Alligator mississippiensis: one gene and its partner. The protein of the gene in region 2 interacts with the protein of the main gene of each other region in a biochemical or structural test. Links are inferred from orthologs where the notes say so. Each region holds a gene or a part of one and is shown on either strand. Other genes may lie near its edges.

Region 1 (7,625 bases), on a different chromosome or scaffold from region 2:
CTCAAATAATCAACAGTGCCCTTGTTGGCAAGAAGGCTAACTACAGAAAGGAGGTGGACAAGTTGGAGAGAGTCCAGAGGAGGGCAGTGAAAATGGTTCAGGGGCTGGGGGACAGGACTGGTGAGGAGAGGCTGGGGGAACTGGGCTGATTTAGCCTGGAGAAGAGAAGACTGAGGGGGGTTGAATAGCAGCCCTCAACTCCCTGCAGGGTGGTTGCAAAGAGGATGGAGCTGGACTGTTCTCAGTGGGGGCAGATGACAGGATATTAGGAAGAAGCAATGGGCTCCACTCATAGCAAGGGAGGTTTAGGCTGGATATTAGGAAAAATGTTCTCACTAGGAAGGTGGTGACGCACTGGAACAGGTTCCCCAGAGTGGTGGTGAAGTCTCCATCTTTTTTAAACCCGGGGTAGACAAAGCCCTGGCTGGGACGATGTAGTTGGGGCCAGTCGTGCTTGGAGCAGGGGCTTGGACTAGATGTGACCTCCCGAGGTCCCTTCCAACCTTAATTTTCTGTGATTCTATGAAATACCTGAAGGGCAATGACAGCGAAGGTGGAGATGGGCCTTTCTATGTGGCTGTAGGGGTGAGATTAAGTGCAATAGCCTCAAGCTGCAGCAGGGGGACCTGAGGTTGGAGATGAGAAGGATCTTGCTGGCTCTGTGGTGGTTGAGCCGTGGAGCAGGTGGAGTTTCCTTCCACCTGGAAATGTCCAAGAGCAGTTTGGACAGACACCGGGCTGGGAGGGTTGAGTCAGGCCTTATCCTGCCTTGACTAGATGCGCCTTCATGAGGTCCTTTCCAGCCCCTTTCTTCGCTCCTAATTAATAGACAGCAGATAAATGTTACTAGCTGAAGATTCAATTAATACTATTTAATTACTATTATTACCCCAATATCCTACCACGAATATGCCAGCTTGCCAGGGTTATCGATGCTGCGTTTCATTTGTAAAGTGGAGAGAGTTAAGCTGATTTCTGTGATGAAAGCAAAGATCTCTTATTAGTGGATCTGAGTATTTCTACTTTGTGTTTTTAATGTGCTGGAATAATCAACTACTTCTCTGGCTGGTATCTGCTATCTGCAGCCTTTATTACTTATATATATAATTTTTTTTTTCCTCTTTTCTTTTCCAGGCTCCTCAAAGTTGCAGCATCATCCATCCTTGCCAAAAAAATTTTCCATAACAAATTATTCTTCCCCTAAAGCAAAAGTACCTTTCCCTGCCTGTCTCTTCCCCTCTTTTGAAAACAAACCAAGAAAGGTTGAGATTTTTTGTTTTGTTCTCGACCACAGAAATATAATGCAAAATGACGGTTTGATTTTTTTTTTTTAAAGAAAGAAAATCTATTTTTATAGGTAAAAAAACCCACACCAACAAGAGCTTTTTCAGCTGCTGCATCTTTTTAAACACTGAAGCCAAAGTCAACGAATGATGGTTGTCAAAAAAAGAGAGAGGAAAAAAAAATTGGTAGTTTAATAGCTCTTTAGATGTATTTTTTTGCCAAAGGTTTTTAAATAGGAGTTTGATGTAAAGCCATTTGAGATGGGCCCCCCGTGCCTGTAAGTATCTTGGGGGAAGGGGGCTGTGTTGCTCTACAAAGCCATGTGTTAGACCTGAAAGCAAAGCTCATTTCAATGAGTGGGATGAGCTTTGGTTTAGGTAAATTGTGTTTTGAAAAGGGAAATCCAGTCCCTGAGGCTCGATTGTCCTGTGCACTAAGGCTCCTGCACCCCACTCTCACGGGAATCATCTGTGAGTGTCCTGGGGGGCCCAGATCCTCCTATTTTCCCATCACTTTCTGCACCGAGGGGTGCGCACAAGAGGCCTGAACGATGTTCTCATTGATTTCCCGTTGGTCTCATACCTGGGCCATTACCTCCTGACCCCCCTTGTGCTGCCTGCTGCACTTACTCCCATTGCTCCCTGCTCTTGCCATGGGAAAGACCCATTTTTTTCATACTGTATTACTCATCAGAGGCATTAGTTGTTTATATAGATATATAGATAGATGAATAAGCAGCCACGTTGTGCCTTAAAAGGGGTGGTGTCGAGCGCAAGAGGAAGGAGAGAGCTTGTCTAGAGAGAGACAGAGCTGGGTTGTAGCCTAGGGTCTGCGGTCGAGACCAGACAAGGGCAACGGGACATTAAAAGTGATGCAGAGTTTCCAAACGTGCTTGTTGCTAGTCCAGGGACTGGGGCTGCCCCAGGCTGATCTTCAAGGTCTGCAGGTTTAGGGTTTGTGCTAAGGGGTGGTGGGGCCAGGGCTTTGCCTGGAGGAAAATCCGGCTCTGAGGAGCAGCTTAATGCCAGCCATGATGTAGCCCCGCGAGCTGAAGCCTTTTAGCTGCTCCTGTTCCGCTGTGGGTGTGATCCTGCCCCTCTCCCCACCCCACACCTATCCCCTGCCTTCAGCAGGAGGTTGGGGGTCTGCCTAGGGGGACAGGAGCTGGACCCCAAGCCTATTCTGGACCTGAGGGCTCACAAGGACTGCAGGAGACTGTTTCCCCCTCTGATTTTTTTGTATCACTATTTTGAGATCAGTCCAGACACTCCAACAGGGCCCAGCCAGTCTCTAACGCCCTGCTGCCTTCAGCAGCACACACTTTGTATCTGCGGCACTGTTTGAGGAAGCTTACCATGCACTACTCCCTGCCCAGCACTGGGTCCAGCCGCCTACTCCGTTGCCTTGTCCCTGCCCGCCCCCACCATCAACACTAAAGTCAGCCCAGTGGGGCCCTTCTTTGCCTCCCAGAGAAAACGCTGTTTGCTGATAACCTGCTGCCACTCCGGCTCTATTCCCGCTTTTCCGCATCTTGCTAAGTGGAAATGTTACCGCTGTTCCTGTTCTTCTCCCCAAATCAATACACGAGGAATCCTGCCCAGCCCGTGTCCTCTCGTGATTTCATAGGGGGCTGGGGTTAGTGAAAGGAGCAGGTGATGCTCTCGGGCCCTGCGTGGGAGGCTGCCGGTCAGCACGGAGGGAGCCTCGGGCTTGGGGTAGCAGCAGGTGGGTGCAAGGGGCATTGGCAGAGCTCTGGGGAGGGGCGACCAGGACTGGACTGGGGAATTAGGGGCACCGGAGCCCCCCAGGGTGGCTCATAGTTAGACCCAGGGGAAGAGGTTGACCCAGGGAGGAGCAGGGGCCGGGATCCCTGCCAGCATCACCTGGAGGAGGCCTTCCTGCAGAGGGGACTTGAGGCTGCCCTGGTATGACTCCCTCACAACCCCTCCCACAGCCTCAGGAGGGCTGGGATTGACTTCTATGGGGGGGGAATGCGCTAGCCCCAGACACCAACTGGGGTGTACTGGAATGGGGCAGGACCTGAAAGCAGCCATCCACTGCCCTCCACTCTCCTGTAGCTTGCATTGGTGGGGCTGGGGCCTCTGCTGTATGCTCGCCCACCTCCGCCCCCCTTCCCCCCCCCCCCCCCCCCCCCGTAGTGACCCCTGACATGCTCTTCCCCTTCCTCTGAGCCGTGTCTGGAGGCTGCCAGGGTTTCCACAGAGTCAGGGGGCTCTCTCGGGAGCTGATTGGGGCCTGGAGCACCCGGGGTTGGGGGAAGAGGAAACCCCCCAGGATTGGAAGTGAGGGGTTGGGAAAGGAACAGCAAACCCCTCTGGTTCACAGCGTCACCCCCTGTTACTTCACACACCAATCTGTGCCCCCCACCATGCACTTTCCTGCTGCAGGCGCTAGGTGTCACCAGCTCACTTCTGATGGCCTTGACCATGGCAAAGCCAGTGAGCGCCCATCCAGCCGGGCTGCTCCCCAGGGGTGAATGGCACTGCCCCGGTACCCGCAGGCTGCAGCTCCTGTCCTCTGCTTTCCCAGCTATTCATGCCCTGCGGGGCTAAGTGACTTGGCCAGGACCGTACAGCAAAGCGGTGGCAGTCTGGGCTCCTGCCTGCCCAGGCATTAACAGCCATGATTTGAACTGCATCTTTGCACAGGTTCCCTAAGTCTCCTAAAGGCTTGTTAGGACATCCCCCCACTCCCTCAGGCTGCAGTCAGAGGTGCTGCTGGGGGGATCTGAGCCCCTGGGCGGCCTGGGCTGGGGTGATTGCCCTGGACAGCTCAGCATGAAGGTTGTCGGATCCATGCAAGGGGCTGTCTCTTCTCTAGGCAACCCCTGGGGATTGAGGCTTATTTGTAGGGGGGACACCACATCCCTGCCCAGCGTGGGGGAGGCTTTGCTGAGCCCGGGAGTGATGCACGTCCCAGAGGCCTAGAGGCAGTCTGTCCACCAGGCACATGGACAAGCCCTGGGTCCCCCCAGCCTGGACCGAGCCTGAGCTGCCAGCCTGCCTGCCTCCTGCCAGCTCCGGGGTTTATGGCTCTGGGAAGCTGCGAGAGGCAAGGCCGGGAGTGCCAGGCAGTGCTGCTCACGAGGCGGCACTAATGCTCCAGCGCTGAGGCTGGCCAGGAGGGAGGGGAGAAGGAAAGCAGCCTGGGAGCTAGGAGGCAGCTCCAGAAGCCACAGCCAGGAGGATGGCAGATGCCGGCAGAGCCTGCAGCCGTGGCAGATGAGTGCCCGGCCCCCTGCCCACTGCAGGTAAATGGGGGCGTGGGGGTGCTCGGGGACCTCGCACTCCCGCAGCTTTGTAGCTGAGTGACAGGGAAGCCAGTGGGATTTGGGGCTTTCTGTGTCCTGCGTGGATCAGGAGGGGGTGACGGGGGAGCAGGACACCTGGGTTGTCTGCTGCTGATCCACCCTCCAGCTCCTGGCTCCAGGGCTCAGGGCCGGGATGGGGAAACCGAGGCACGGGGGAGGACAGATGGGCTCTCTCAGGGGCATCCAAGCATGTTTCTCCCTGGTTAAGGCAGGAGGGGCAGACGGCCACAGGGTGCCTGGCTCCAGGCAGTGGCAGGGGCATGGGGTTTCTGCCTTGACAAAGCCTGTTGTTGCCATCAGGGATGTAGGTGCTGGGCGCTGGGCACAGTGGAGAGCTGAGCACAGGGGCTGGGCACTGGGTATGGTGAGGAGCTGGGCACTGGGTATGGTGGGGAGCTGGGCACAGGGCTGGACTCTGGGCACAGTGAGGAGCTGGCGCTCCATCATCTCCATACAGAAACAAGGCATCGCAGTTTCCAAGGCAATACCTGCCTTCATGCCCACTGTCGGGTGCCCGCAGCTGTGGCAGCTTGACCCACTGACCACTAGGTGTTATGGTGATAACTCCCTGGGGCAGTGGCCATCAGTCTGTCCAGCTGGCTAGAGAGGGCTGTGGCCGCTACAGCTGGGCACCAGAAGTGGAAGGGGCAGGGACTCGTGGGCACAGGTGCCAGGACCCAGGGGTGGGGAGATGCAGGGTCCACTGACACCTGAGCAGCCTTTACCTGCTACTGCCAAAGGACCTGTGAATTGTGCACTCTCAGCCTTACACTTGTGCACATGCACTTACATACTCTGTCACACTTGTGCACTCTCACATCACACCCTGGCATTTCACTGTCATGCAATCCCACTCCTGGGTGCACCCACCCACGATCATGCACTTTCTCACATGCATGCTCCCCTTGCATATGCACTTGTGCATTTACATGTGTATTGGTGCTGTTGCATACCTAAACACACCCTCATGCATGCATGTACACAAACTTGTGCAACCGCACACTCACGTTCACACTCACCACCCTCTCCCTCCCAGCAAGAGGAGCAGCAGCATCAGGCCCACTGCAGATGCCCTCACTCCAGCCCGGGGCCCTTATCTCAGCTATGACGAGCCGTGCGCCGGGGCGGACGGGGCAGCACTTGGAGATTACAAGTGGGTCTAAATAAGGAGCTTAGCCACCAGGGTCACTGCGCATTTGCTGCTGGCACTCTCATGCAAACAGCTATTGAGGCTATAGGCCCTGGCACTGAGGATGAGCTGCGGAGTCGGGGGACATTTCAGGCAGGGCAATGCCTGCCAACCCCATCCACTGCTGGCTGGGAGCACCCCAGTACCAGGGTTCATGCACCCCTGATTCCCCTTAGGAATCCGTAGGTGCCCTTGCCCGCGGCACCATCCCTTGCACTGGTGCAAAGCAAGGTCACCTGCTCAGAGCCTGTGTCGAGCCCCCAGGGACCCTTTCCAGACCCCCTGCCGGGGCCCAGGCCCCGTGTTTTCTCCCTCCAGCCAGAATCGTGGGCACGAGGCCTCTTGTGCTCTGTTCTTGGGCCTCGGCCAGGTCTCCCTGGTTCCCTTCCCTCCTCTGCAAGCCAGGAAACCTGGCAGCAGAGGCAGCTTGAGTAGGAGAGGCACTTCCAAGCCCTTTCACCCAGTTGCAGCTGGGAGGAGGAGATGGAAGGGGGGCAGCACTGCCTAGGGGGTTGGGGAGCTGACAGGCAGGGCTTTGCTCCTGGGATGGAGGGAGTTACAGCTTCTTGGCTGGAGCAGTGACCAGCTCCCAGGGGCTTTGAATGGGGCCCCTTCCCCAGTGCCGCAGGCTCCCTCTTCTCTCTCAGGCTTCATCCAGAGTGGTTGCTGGGGTCTTCCCCTGTGCTGTGCATGCTCTCCACTGGCTCTATGCCCCTCCTGTCACTGCTGCTGCTCTTTGCTGCTCTGCAAGGCACCGGAAGCCACAAGGAGGTCCCCAGTGCTGCTGTGGCTTCTTGAGGCTCGATCGATCGGCAGCATCTTGGCTGAAATCATGCCCCATTCCCTTCCCCCCACACCTGGGATCTATCACCCCTGGGCCTGAGCTCGCCCTGCCCTGAGCCCTGCCTGGAGCACGCTCTTCTGGATCGGGATCTTTGGGTTCAGCAGCTTCCTATCAGCCCCCTGCTTAGAGCCAGGAAGCAGCAGGAACCTTCAGGGAGGTATCTCCCCTGGCACTCAGCCCCCTTCCACCATCACGGCCATCCCTGCTGGCTCCCAGGGTTTCAGGTCCCCTTTCTTAAAGCCCCAGCTCCCGGAGTCTGGGGAATCCTGCCTGAGCTGAATGAGGACATCAACGCCCGGATTCTACCTTTCCACTATGTGACACAGGAAACTGGGCAAGATGGGCCTATGACCTGACCCAGTCACAGTTTCACTGTTTCTCACCTCTTTTTGGTTACACTAAATTTGGAGCTGGGACGTACATCAAGAGATGGAGGGAAAAAGCTGGGCTGGATCCTAGAATTGGCAAGAGACACCTGCAATCTGGGGAGGGTTTGGACTGCCTGGTCCTTTGGGCACCAGGGAGGGACCAGGCAGGAGCTCCCTGGCCCAAGGGCTAGGACCCAGTGCATCAGGTATGTACCAGGGGCATTAGTGACTCAGGATGATCCCACTCTGACTCGGTGGCGCATGTCTGCTGGGCATCACTACCTGTCCCAATCTGGACTCAGGCCTCTTGTAGGTGCATATGTCCTGGGCCAACTTGGCGCTCTGCTCTAGCCCAGAGGTGGCTGCATTTCAGTGGCAAGGGAGTCTTCGTATTGGTGCTTCAGGGGCTACATAGGTCGCCTGCCGCGCTAAGTGCTATACAAAGGCAGGTCTCCCTTATGCCATGCTAGTGATGATTTCTAGCAAGGCTGATAGGGCTGCAGCGTACAGCTCCATGAACCCCAACAGAGATGTGCTGCCCAGCGGGGTGCACGCAGCTGTATGTTGCAATAGGGAAGAGTTACTGCCTGCTTCTCCTTTCGTTCTGAG
Region 2 (8,087 bases):
ATTAGACTCACTCATCAGAAGTGGTTGCAAGACAGATTTTAGCAGAAAGAGGCTGGAGGTGTAAAACCCACATGCAGATCTTTAACCCCTAACATACCTCTGGAGTGTTCAGGGGGAATTTGAGCTTCATTCAACAGCAAAACTTCAGAATCAGACCAAGATTTAACTACTGGCACCTTTCTGCCCACCAGCCTCATAGGCTTTCAGGGAACGTTTGTCAGGCTTTCAGGGACCAGGTTTCAGTTCAGGTTGGGAAATAAAGCTTGATCCTGCCCCACTGGAGTCCACAGAGCTTTTGCCACTGATACTGATGAGACGCAGGATAAGGCCACTAGAAATCTATTGTAATACCTGGATCTTGGTTGGTTCCAGTCAGCACCCAAGCCCTGCAAAGTCCAGTGACCCTCAGGTCAAAGGTTCCAGTTGAATCCCACCCCTAATCCACAACCACGTTAAGGATGGTTTTGTTAGTAGCACTACAAGGGAGACCTGTCACCTGAGGCACTACGACCGAACCCTGAAGAACAGACTCTGGGGAAGTTTTTTGTGCCTCTTTGAATGCTTTTGTTCCTCAACCCCTCCAGACTTCAGCCTGCTGTGCAATAATCACCCACGCAGCTAGCCGCAAAGGTACAAGGTTATATTGTTAGTCCAGTGTGAGACCCACTTCCAAGGGGCCTTACATCCAGTTTATTGGGAGCTTTGCTTGAGTGAGAACTTCAGGATGGGGACCATGGAGAGTACCAAACCCACCCAGAGGGCTCCAGCCTAAGCAGGGCTCCCTCATCTGAGCTCCCACCTGGGGGGCAGGGGGGAGGTTACCTGGGCCCCCACCCTCATCAGAGCCACACAGGGGAGTCTTCACTGCCACCAGGGCTGAGTGGGGAGTTATCTGACCCTGCAACCCACATCAAAGCTCCCACCAGGGCACCGCTGAGGGGTTACCCAGGCCCCCTACCCTCATCAGAGCTGCAGGGTAGGGGGATCCTTGTTCCCACCATGGTACAGGGGGAACAACCCTAACCCTGAGTCTCCATCCCCATCAGAGCTCCCACCTGTATGCAGGTGGGGCGGGGGTGACCTGGACCTCCCCACTCTCATCAGAGCCACATGTGGAGGGGTCCCCACTCCCAACAGTATACAGGGGGGTTCCCCAGCCCCCCACCCCAATTAGAGCCACACAGGGGGTCCCCACTCCCACCAGTGTACAGGGGGGTTCCCCAGGATCAGAGCCACATGAGGGGGCAGGTGCTTGCACCAGGAGGCTGCTGGAGTATAGGATGGGGGGTGACCTGGGCCCCACATCTCAATCAGAGCCACATGGGAAGGGGGTCCCCACTCCCACCAGCGTACAGGGGGGTACCCAAGGATCAGAGCCACATGGGGGTACCCCACTCCCACCAGTGTACAGGGGGGTACCCCAGGATCAGAGCCACATGGAGGGTACCCCACTCCCACCAGCGTACAAGGGGGTACCCCAGGATCAGAGCCACATGGGAAGGGGGTCCCCACTCCCACCAGGTACAGAGGGGTTCCCCAGGATCAGAGCCACATGGAGGGTACCCCACTCCCACCAGCGTACAGGGGGGTACCCAAGGATCAGAGACACATGGGGGTACCCCACTCCCACCAGCGTACAGGGGGGTTCCCCAGGATCAGAGCCACATGGGAAGGGGGTCCCCACTCCCACCAGGTACAGGGGGGTTCCCCAGGATCAGAGCCACCCGGGAGGCAGGCGCTTGCACCAGGACGCTGCTGGGAGAGGGATGCGGGGCTGCCCCCCGCCCGCACCCGAGGGCTGCCCTGTGCCGCGGGGCCGGGGGCGCTACCTGGATGGCCCTCCTCTCGCAGGAGGGCCCGCTGCCCTGCACCACGCTGTCCAGCACGGCCACGAGGCCGGCGTCGGGCGCGGCCAGGCAGGAGCGGCGCGCGGCGCGGATGGCCGCGTCCACGTCGGCGAAGCGGAAGGCGCAGAGCGCGGCGGGCGCGCGGGGGCCGGGGCCGGCGCCGCGCTCGAAGACGGCGAAGAGGCGCTGGTCGGCGGCGTCGGGCGGCGGGAAGACGGACACGAGGCGGTTGTAGAGCTCGGCGCCGGCGCCGCACTGCAGCCCCAGCTGGATGTAGGACTCGGTGAGCTTCTTGGTCTCTCCGGGGCCGGCGGCGGCGGCGTCGGGCAGGCAGATGCGCGCCAGCAGGCTGTGCGCCTGGCTCTCCTTGTCGCCCGCGTTGGCCTCGCTGTTGAGCGCCAGGTAGGCGAAGCGCGCGCGGCGCAGGAAGGCGCGCACGAAGCCCAGCTTGTGGCGGGCCTTGGCGCTGAGCTTGATCTTGAGGATGTTGTCGTCGGACGGGTTGAGGTCGAAGGTGAAGAGCCGCGCCAGGTCCCCGCGCGCGTCCAGGGCGCGGATGGCGATCTCGGGCGTGTTCTCGAAGCGGTGGTCCTCCAGGCTGCGGTTGCGCGGGAAGAAGGGGCTGCCGAAGCCCGTGTAGGTGGCGCCCACCAGCAGGCGCGTGTCGCCGGGCGCGCCGCCGGGCAGCACCAGCCCCACGGTGGAGGCGTTGGGGTGGTTGGCCGCCACGTTGAGCATGCTGGGGAACACGGTCACCGGCTCGGCCGACGGCACGGCGGACGGGGCGTTGGCGGCGTGGGGCGGGAAGCGCACGGCCACGGCCGAGATGTTGGCCATGCTGCGCAGCTGGCACGAGCCCTGGTAGACGGAGCCGCACACCACCACGATGCCCTGCGCCGCGTCGGGCTGCAGGATCTTGTTGTAGTTGGGCGTGGGCACCCGCGCGTGCTCGCACGACGCCTGCGGCAGCTGCGGGGCATGGCACAGCGGGTTGTCGGGCACGGGGCCCACCTGCTCCTCCGCCTCCAGCGTCAGGTTGGGCCCCGCCAGCTGGTACAGCCGGTTCACGGCCGCCACGTACACCCGCCGGCCCGGCCCGTCCAGCGCGAAGTTGTTGGTGGGGGTGGGCGACGGGAACTTGCGCTGCACCTCCAGCCCCGCGCCCGCCCGCAGCGCCAGCGCCAGCACCACCGCCCGCAGCAGCAGCAGCAGCAGCAGCGGCGGCGGCGTCCGAGGGAGCGCCCGCCCCGCCATGCCGCCGCGCCGGGCATGGAGAGGGCACCCGCTGCCTGCGGAGCCGGCGCTGCCTTTGTGGCGAGCCCGCCCGCGCCTCTGGACCGCCCCGACAGGCGGGATGGGATGGGGCTCGGCGGCGCGGAGGCAGGCGGCACCCTCCCCCCGTGACAGCTCCCGCCCCCCTCCTTCCCTTCCCTTCCCTTCCCCTTCCCTTCCCTTCCCTTCATGTCTCGCTTTGCTTCAGGGGAAGGTTTCTTTCCCCCCCGCATTGCTTTCAGCGCTACGAGGAGACCTCTCCCCGCTCCTCCCTCAGACTAGCCGCCCTCACAGCCCTCCCCCCTGCTCGGACGGACTAGAAATAGCCCCCTTTCCTTCGGGTCTAAGCAGGAGAAGACTGACAGACCCTCGCAGGCGATGTCGAGACTGGCTACCGCCTGCGCCCGGCTCGTAGCTGGCCGTCCTAAGGGACAGCCCGGGTGTCCTCTGTTGACGCAAAAACCTTTAGGTCCTCTATTTTTCTGTTCTGGTGGGGGCCACCTACACGGGGTTGAGCAGCCCCTTCTTCGAGAGAAAAACGGAGGGCATAAAGGCACCGGGTTTTGTATCAATAGGGGATGGAGTAGCAGAAAACCGGAATGTCCTCTGGGATGGCCACCCTAGCCCCCCCCGGAAAAAGAGAGTGGGAGAGGAGTGGGTGATGGTGACGGGGGCAGGAAGAGATGAAGGGGCCGGGTACGCCCAGCGTGGAAGGGGTGACACTGGGTTGCTGGCACAGCCCTTGCCCGGCTGCTTTCTAGTCCTTGTGGGGAGAGCCTGGTGCAGCAGTGAAAGGGTCTGAGTCGCCTGGGGACTTCCCCGTGCCTGCCCTCAGCCGGGAGGGGACCTGGGGGGGACAGTGGAGGCTCTTGTCCAAGTTCCCAGGGGAGGGTTCAGAAGCGGGGGCTTCTCCTCGCAGCTCCCAGCTCTGATCTGTGCTGAGGGGACGTGGTGGGCAGCGACCAGGGTGAGGCATCACCCCCTTGAGGGCTCCTCCTGTGCCTCCTCTCTCAGGACTTGCCTACAATGGAAAGTTACTGCAGGGAGAGTGAAGGGTGAGGGGTGTAAAATCCGTGTACAAGTCTAAACCCCGCATGGATACTTTTATTCTGGTAAAAGCCTTTTTTTTCTGGGGTAGCTTAGGTCATTCCAAAAGGGTCAAAGCCTAATTCTGGAAAAAGAGTGTGAGAGGCTATGGCTACATGACTGGCATGGCAGGGAACCTGGGGGCAAAAAGCCCAGAGGGAACTGCCTTAATGCAGCTGTGCTCCAATGAACAGCTGTGGCTGGAAGAAATTGCACTGCCCTGGGAAGAAACTGCCCCGGCTTGGAACCAAGGCAAAAAAAATCCTTGGTTCAGGGCAAACTGACCTCAGTTTTAGGGAGTTGCATCAAGTGGCTGCAGCGTTTTTCCTCAGAGCATCTGGGGTTTTCCAGGCTACCTTGTTCATGTGGCTGCAGCCAGAGTGGCCACTTGAGGGGGTTTTCCCTGTATAAGCATATTGGTTTAACAATATCAGGATACCAGCATATCATTGCAATACTTTAGTCAGTGGGCCCCAGTTGGTGGCTTGTGGGCTCTGAGTTGTCCACAAGACCTTCTGATGTTACTTGCGGCCACAGCTGGGACTGAGGTTGCCCAAGGGAGCCCGCAGCATGTTACTTGCTCAGTGGTGCTGTCCATGAGCCAGCAGAGCCAGGGTGGGAAAGTTGTCAGGCTTTCCCATGAACATAAGCCTTTACAGACAGAGTGGCATGCTATGGTGATACATACATTATAATTGCTGGACATTTGCATTAATCCATCAGTAGGAGCAATGGGACGGCTCACACCTCAGGGTTAGTATATTAGGCTATCTGCAGATCCGTGTGGATTTCAGTGACTCCTGGATCATATTTCTGAAGCTTTCTTTGCAGCCATACCAAAATGAGACTGGCTCTGATTTAATGACAAAATTTAAATTTCAAATGTAAATGAAAGCTGAGATTCTGGAGGGCAAAACGCTTTTATGCTGTATTGGCTGAGTTTGAGTTTTGGTGTTCAGCTTCCGTTCCACTTCAGTCCTGGGTCTTTCTGCTGAGACTGTCAATACCAGGAGTGGTTTGATGTGTGATGTGAACGCTCGCATGCTGGGAAATAACCCAAGGCCCACTATACTCATTTCGTGTAATCTGCATTGGCAGTGAGGGCTTTGTCCCCAGTGTAGGAGGAGACCGAAGGGGTAGGAGCTTTTGCCGAGATTTCTCTCTAGTTGCTCCATTAGGGAACGGGAAAAAAGTTAACCTGAATCTGGCTATTCAGTCTCACCTCTATGGGCTGGAGCACTGTAATGCCAGTCCAGCACATTGTCTGCCCATTCCCCTTGGTGGATTTACTGACCCGCTGAGCACTTTCTGTAGTGTTAGGGGAAGGAATCCTCTGTCCCCAGCTCTGCAATTTCATTGCAAATGTCACAATGTGGTATTTGCTGTGTTTCTTAAAGCCTTCACTCCTGGAGTCATGTGAATCCATGCAACTCTCTGGTTTCTCCTTTTAAGAAGAGGGATGGTTTTAATTGTCATGATTTAGTTTAAAAAACGCAAGTGTAGCGAAACGGTTCCAAAACCAAAGGACAAATAAAAGGAACCCTAAGGGTATTATGAGGGTGCCTCCCTTCATTATGGAAGATGTGAGCCACATGAGAAGGGACATTGCCATGCACAAATAATGGGGGTGGGGTGAGGTGAGGGATGCAATTAAGTCACATTTCTGATCACTAGACATAGAGATGATCTATAAGCTAGCGTGGAAAGGCTCTGTATACTGCGTTCAATTCCCTGAGCCTTTCTTTAGCCTGGACTGTTCTCATGTTACTTGAGTTATTTTCATTCATACAAAACCTATCAGTTAGGCTGATGAGGATTCTGGATGACTCGTTTTCTGGATAGAAAAATCCTCTGTTGTTGTCTAATCTCATTTCTACACCTGCCAGCTCTCTTCACCTCCTTCCTGTCCTTTTCTCCCTCTTCAGAGCTCTAATTAATACATAACTGCAATGGCCATGCCATGCCCACTGAAAAATGTGCATTGAATTAAATACGATGCTTTCCTGCTATCGAACATATTGTCTCTACTAATCACATCCCTAATGGATAGAGTTATTGGCTGTTTTTTAAATTTAGAACACCAACACTGTTTGACTTTTTTTTTACTTTAACTTTTCCATTTTTAAATACAATTGTGACTTTAGCCACCCAGAAATAAACCCATGTTATAACTATAATGATACACATTTTAGCACTGTTCAATCTAGAGCTTCCGAGGGCTTTATCCATGTCAAAGGTAAGGACAAACAAACAATTCACAGCAAGTTACAAGGGAACAGGAACTTACTGCACATCAGCTGCCCCATGGTACCATTTGTTTGTCCACTCTTACCCCACGATAAGTGGAAGCTAATCTACAGGAATTTAGCCCTGAGAGCTAAGGTGCTGCAATTTAGCTTTCATTTATTTCATGGCAAGAGCAGGCACATTAACAGTTACCCATGTGATAAGTCCCTATGCCCTTTTAATTGACTATATTTTGTTTGTTTGCCCACACCCAGCATAATTAAGCTGTGACTGTGAGCCAGCTAAGCCTCAATATCCCTGTTTTCACAGAACTGATGCACAGAGATCCACATTTTCAAGAATGGCGAGTTATTTAAATAACTCCATTTCAGGGACCACAGCCTCTTAAACTATTCACAATAAAGACTGTATACTGCTGCCCGTCTCTGTAGTAGCTGTGCTTCTTCTAAGCAAAATCAGTCTTTGAGGGTGTCTCAGATGGGGTACCCAAAACATGAGGCACCCAAATTTACTAGTCATTTCTGAAAACGCAAGCCAAAGGGTGTAAGCAAATTAGTGGCTTCCCAAATGAAGACAGTCACTGGCCTCATCAGTAAGAGAACCGGGGAGTCCTGACTACCATTTCCTGTTCTGACCACTAATCAAGGCTGATAGTTAGAGCCAAAATATTTGTGGCAGTGTGAAATTTATCTGCTAAATATTTTATTTTTGTTGTTGTTAGGAAACAATCCCTTGATAAGCTGCTTTGAGCGTAATGTTTTCTAGAAATGGATTTTTCCCCTATTATTATCTGTTGAGTTAGAAGCCCTAGCGAATCTTTTAGGATAATGCTGCTAATAGAGGTAATAGAGGTTTTTAAATCTCTAATACTCAGAGCTTACCATTATTTTTTATTCAGGAAGGAAGAAAGGCCTAAAAAAATACACGCCTCCCACTAAGAACAATTGCCCCCTGCCAAAATCCTTTCCTGTTTGACTCTTATGCAGGTTTAAAGATAACAGCTTTTTAGACATCTCTGTGGGGGAGAGGGTTGTGTGTATAGGAACACAAAAACACTTTAATTATTAATAAATATATTTACACAAGAACAATTTCCCTTTGGGGGAAACACGAGTTACTCATGAAATTACTCAGGTTATATTGCCGCAACACTGTCAAAAAAACCAGGATCTAATCTCTTTACTATGCAGACTAGAAACATCCATTTATTTTCTTGTTTTTTCTCTGCATGGAAGGCATAAAGTATTTTGCAGATACAAAAGGAGAGTTCACCATCACACATTGGTAATGGACTGGTTTGATTCAGCAGACCCAAATAAATAACTTGCCGTGTGACAATTTGGAAGGGAGAAAGGGGCTGGTTTCTAGATATAACAGATCATTGAATGTGACAGTGTCCCACTGCATAGGATTGAGTTAGCTCTCTGGCACTGAGGGTTGTCTGCCTGTCTGTCTCTCTCATTCTGTCTCCTGTAGAATATTAAGAGAGAGAAATTCTACAAGGCTCTTTAGCTCAGTAATTGAGCACCTGAAAGCAGGAAAATCTATTTTTTGATTATTATACAGACTGTATCTGGGAAGGGTTGGCAATTTCCCAAGCCTGATTCAAGTGTTGCCTGGTTTATATATGGGAGG

What was found.
Region 1: the proteins of PLXND1 (region 2) and SEMA4A form a complex in vitro, tested with the Homo sapiens proteins (2 studies listed by IntAct, with this or other methods). The link is inferred for Alligator mississippiensis from reciprocal best matches to the Homo sapiens genes PLXND1 and SEMA4A.

Annotation. Positions count from the first base shown.
Region 1 is NC_081838.1:17,389,555-17,397,179, forward strand, and holds the start of SEMA4A (semaphorin-4A), read left to right. Parts: upstream 1-4,416; 5' UTR 4,417-4,555; intron 4,556-7,625. UniProt on the Homo sapiens protein: Cell surface receptor for PLXNB1, PLXNB2, PLXNB3 and PLXND1 that plays an important role in cell-cell signaling. Regulates glutamatergic and GABAergic synapse development.
Region 2 is NC_081835.1:15,265,544-15,273,630, forward strand, and holds the start of PLXND1 (plexin-D1), read right to left. Parts: upstream 3,144-8,087; 5' UTR 3,102-3,143; coding exon 1,830-3,101; intron 1-1,829. UniProt on the Homo sapiens protein: Cell surface receptor for SEMA4A and for class 3 semaphorins, such as SEMA3A, SEMA3C and SEMA3E. Plays an important role in cell-cell signaling, and in regulating the migration of a wide spectrum of cell types.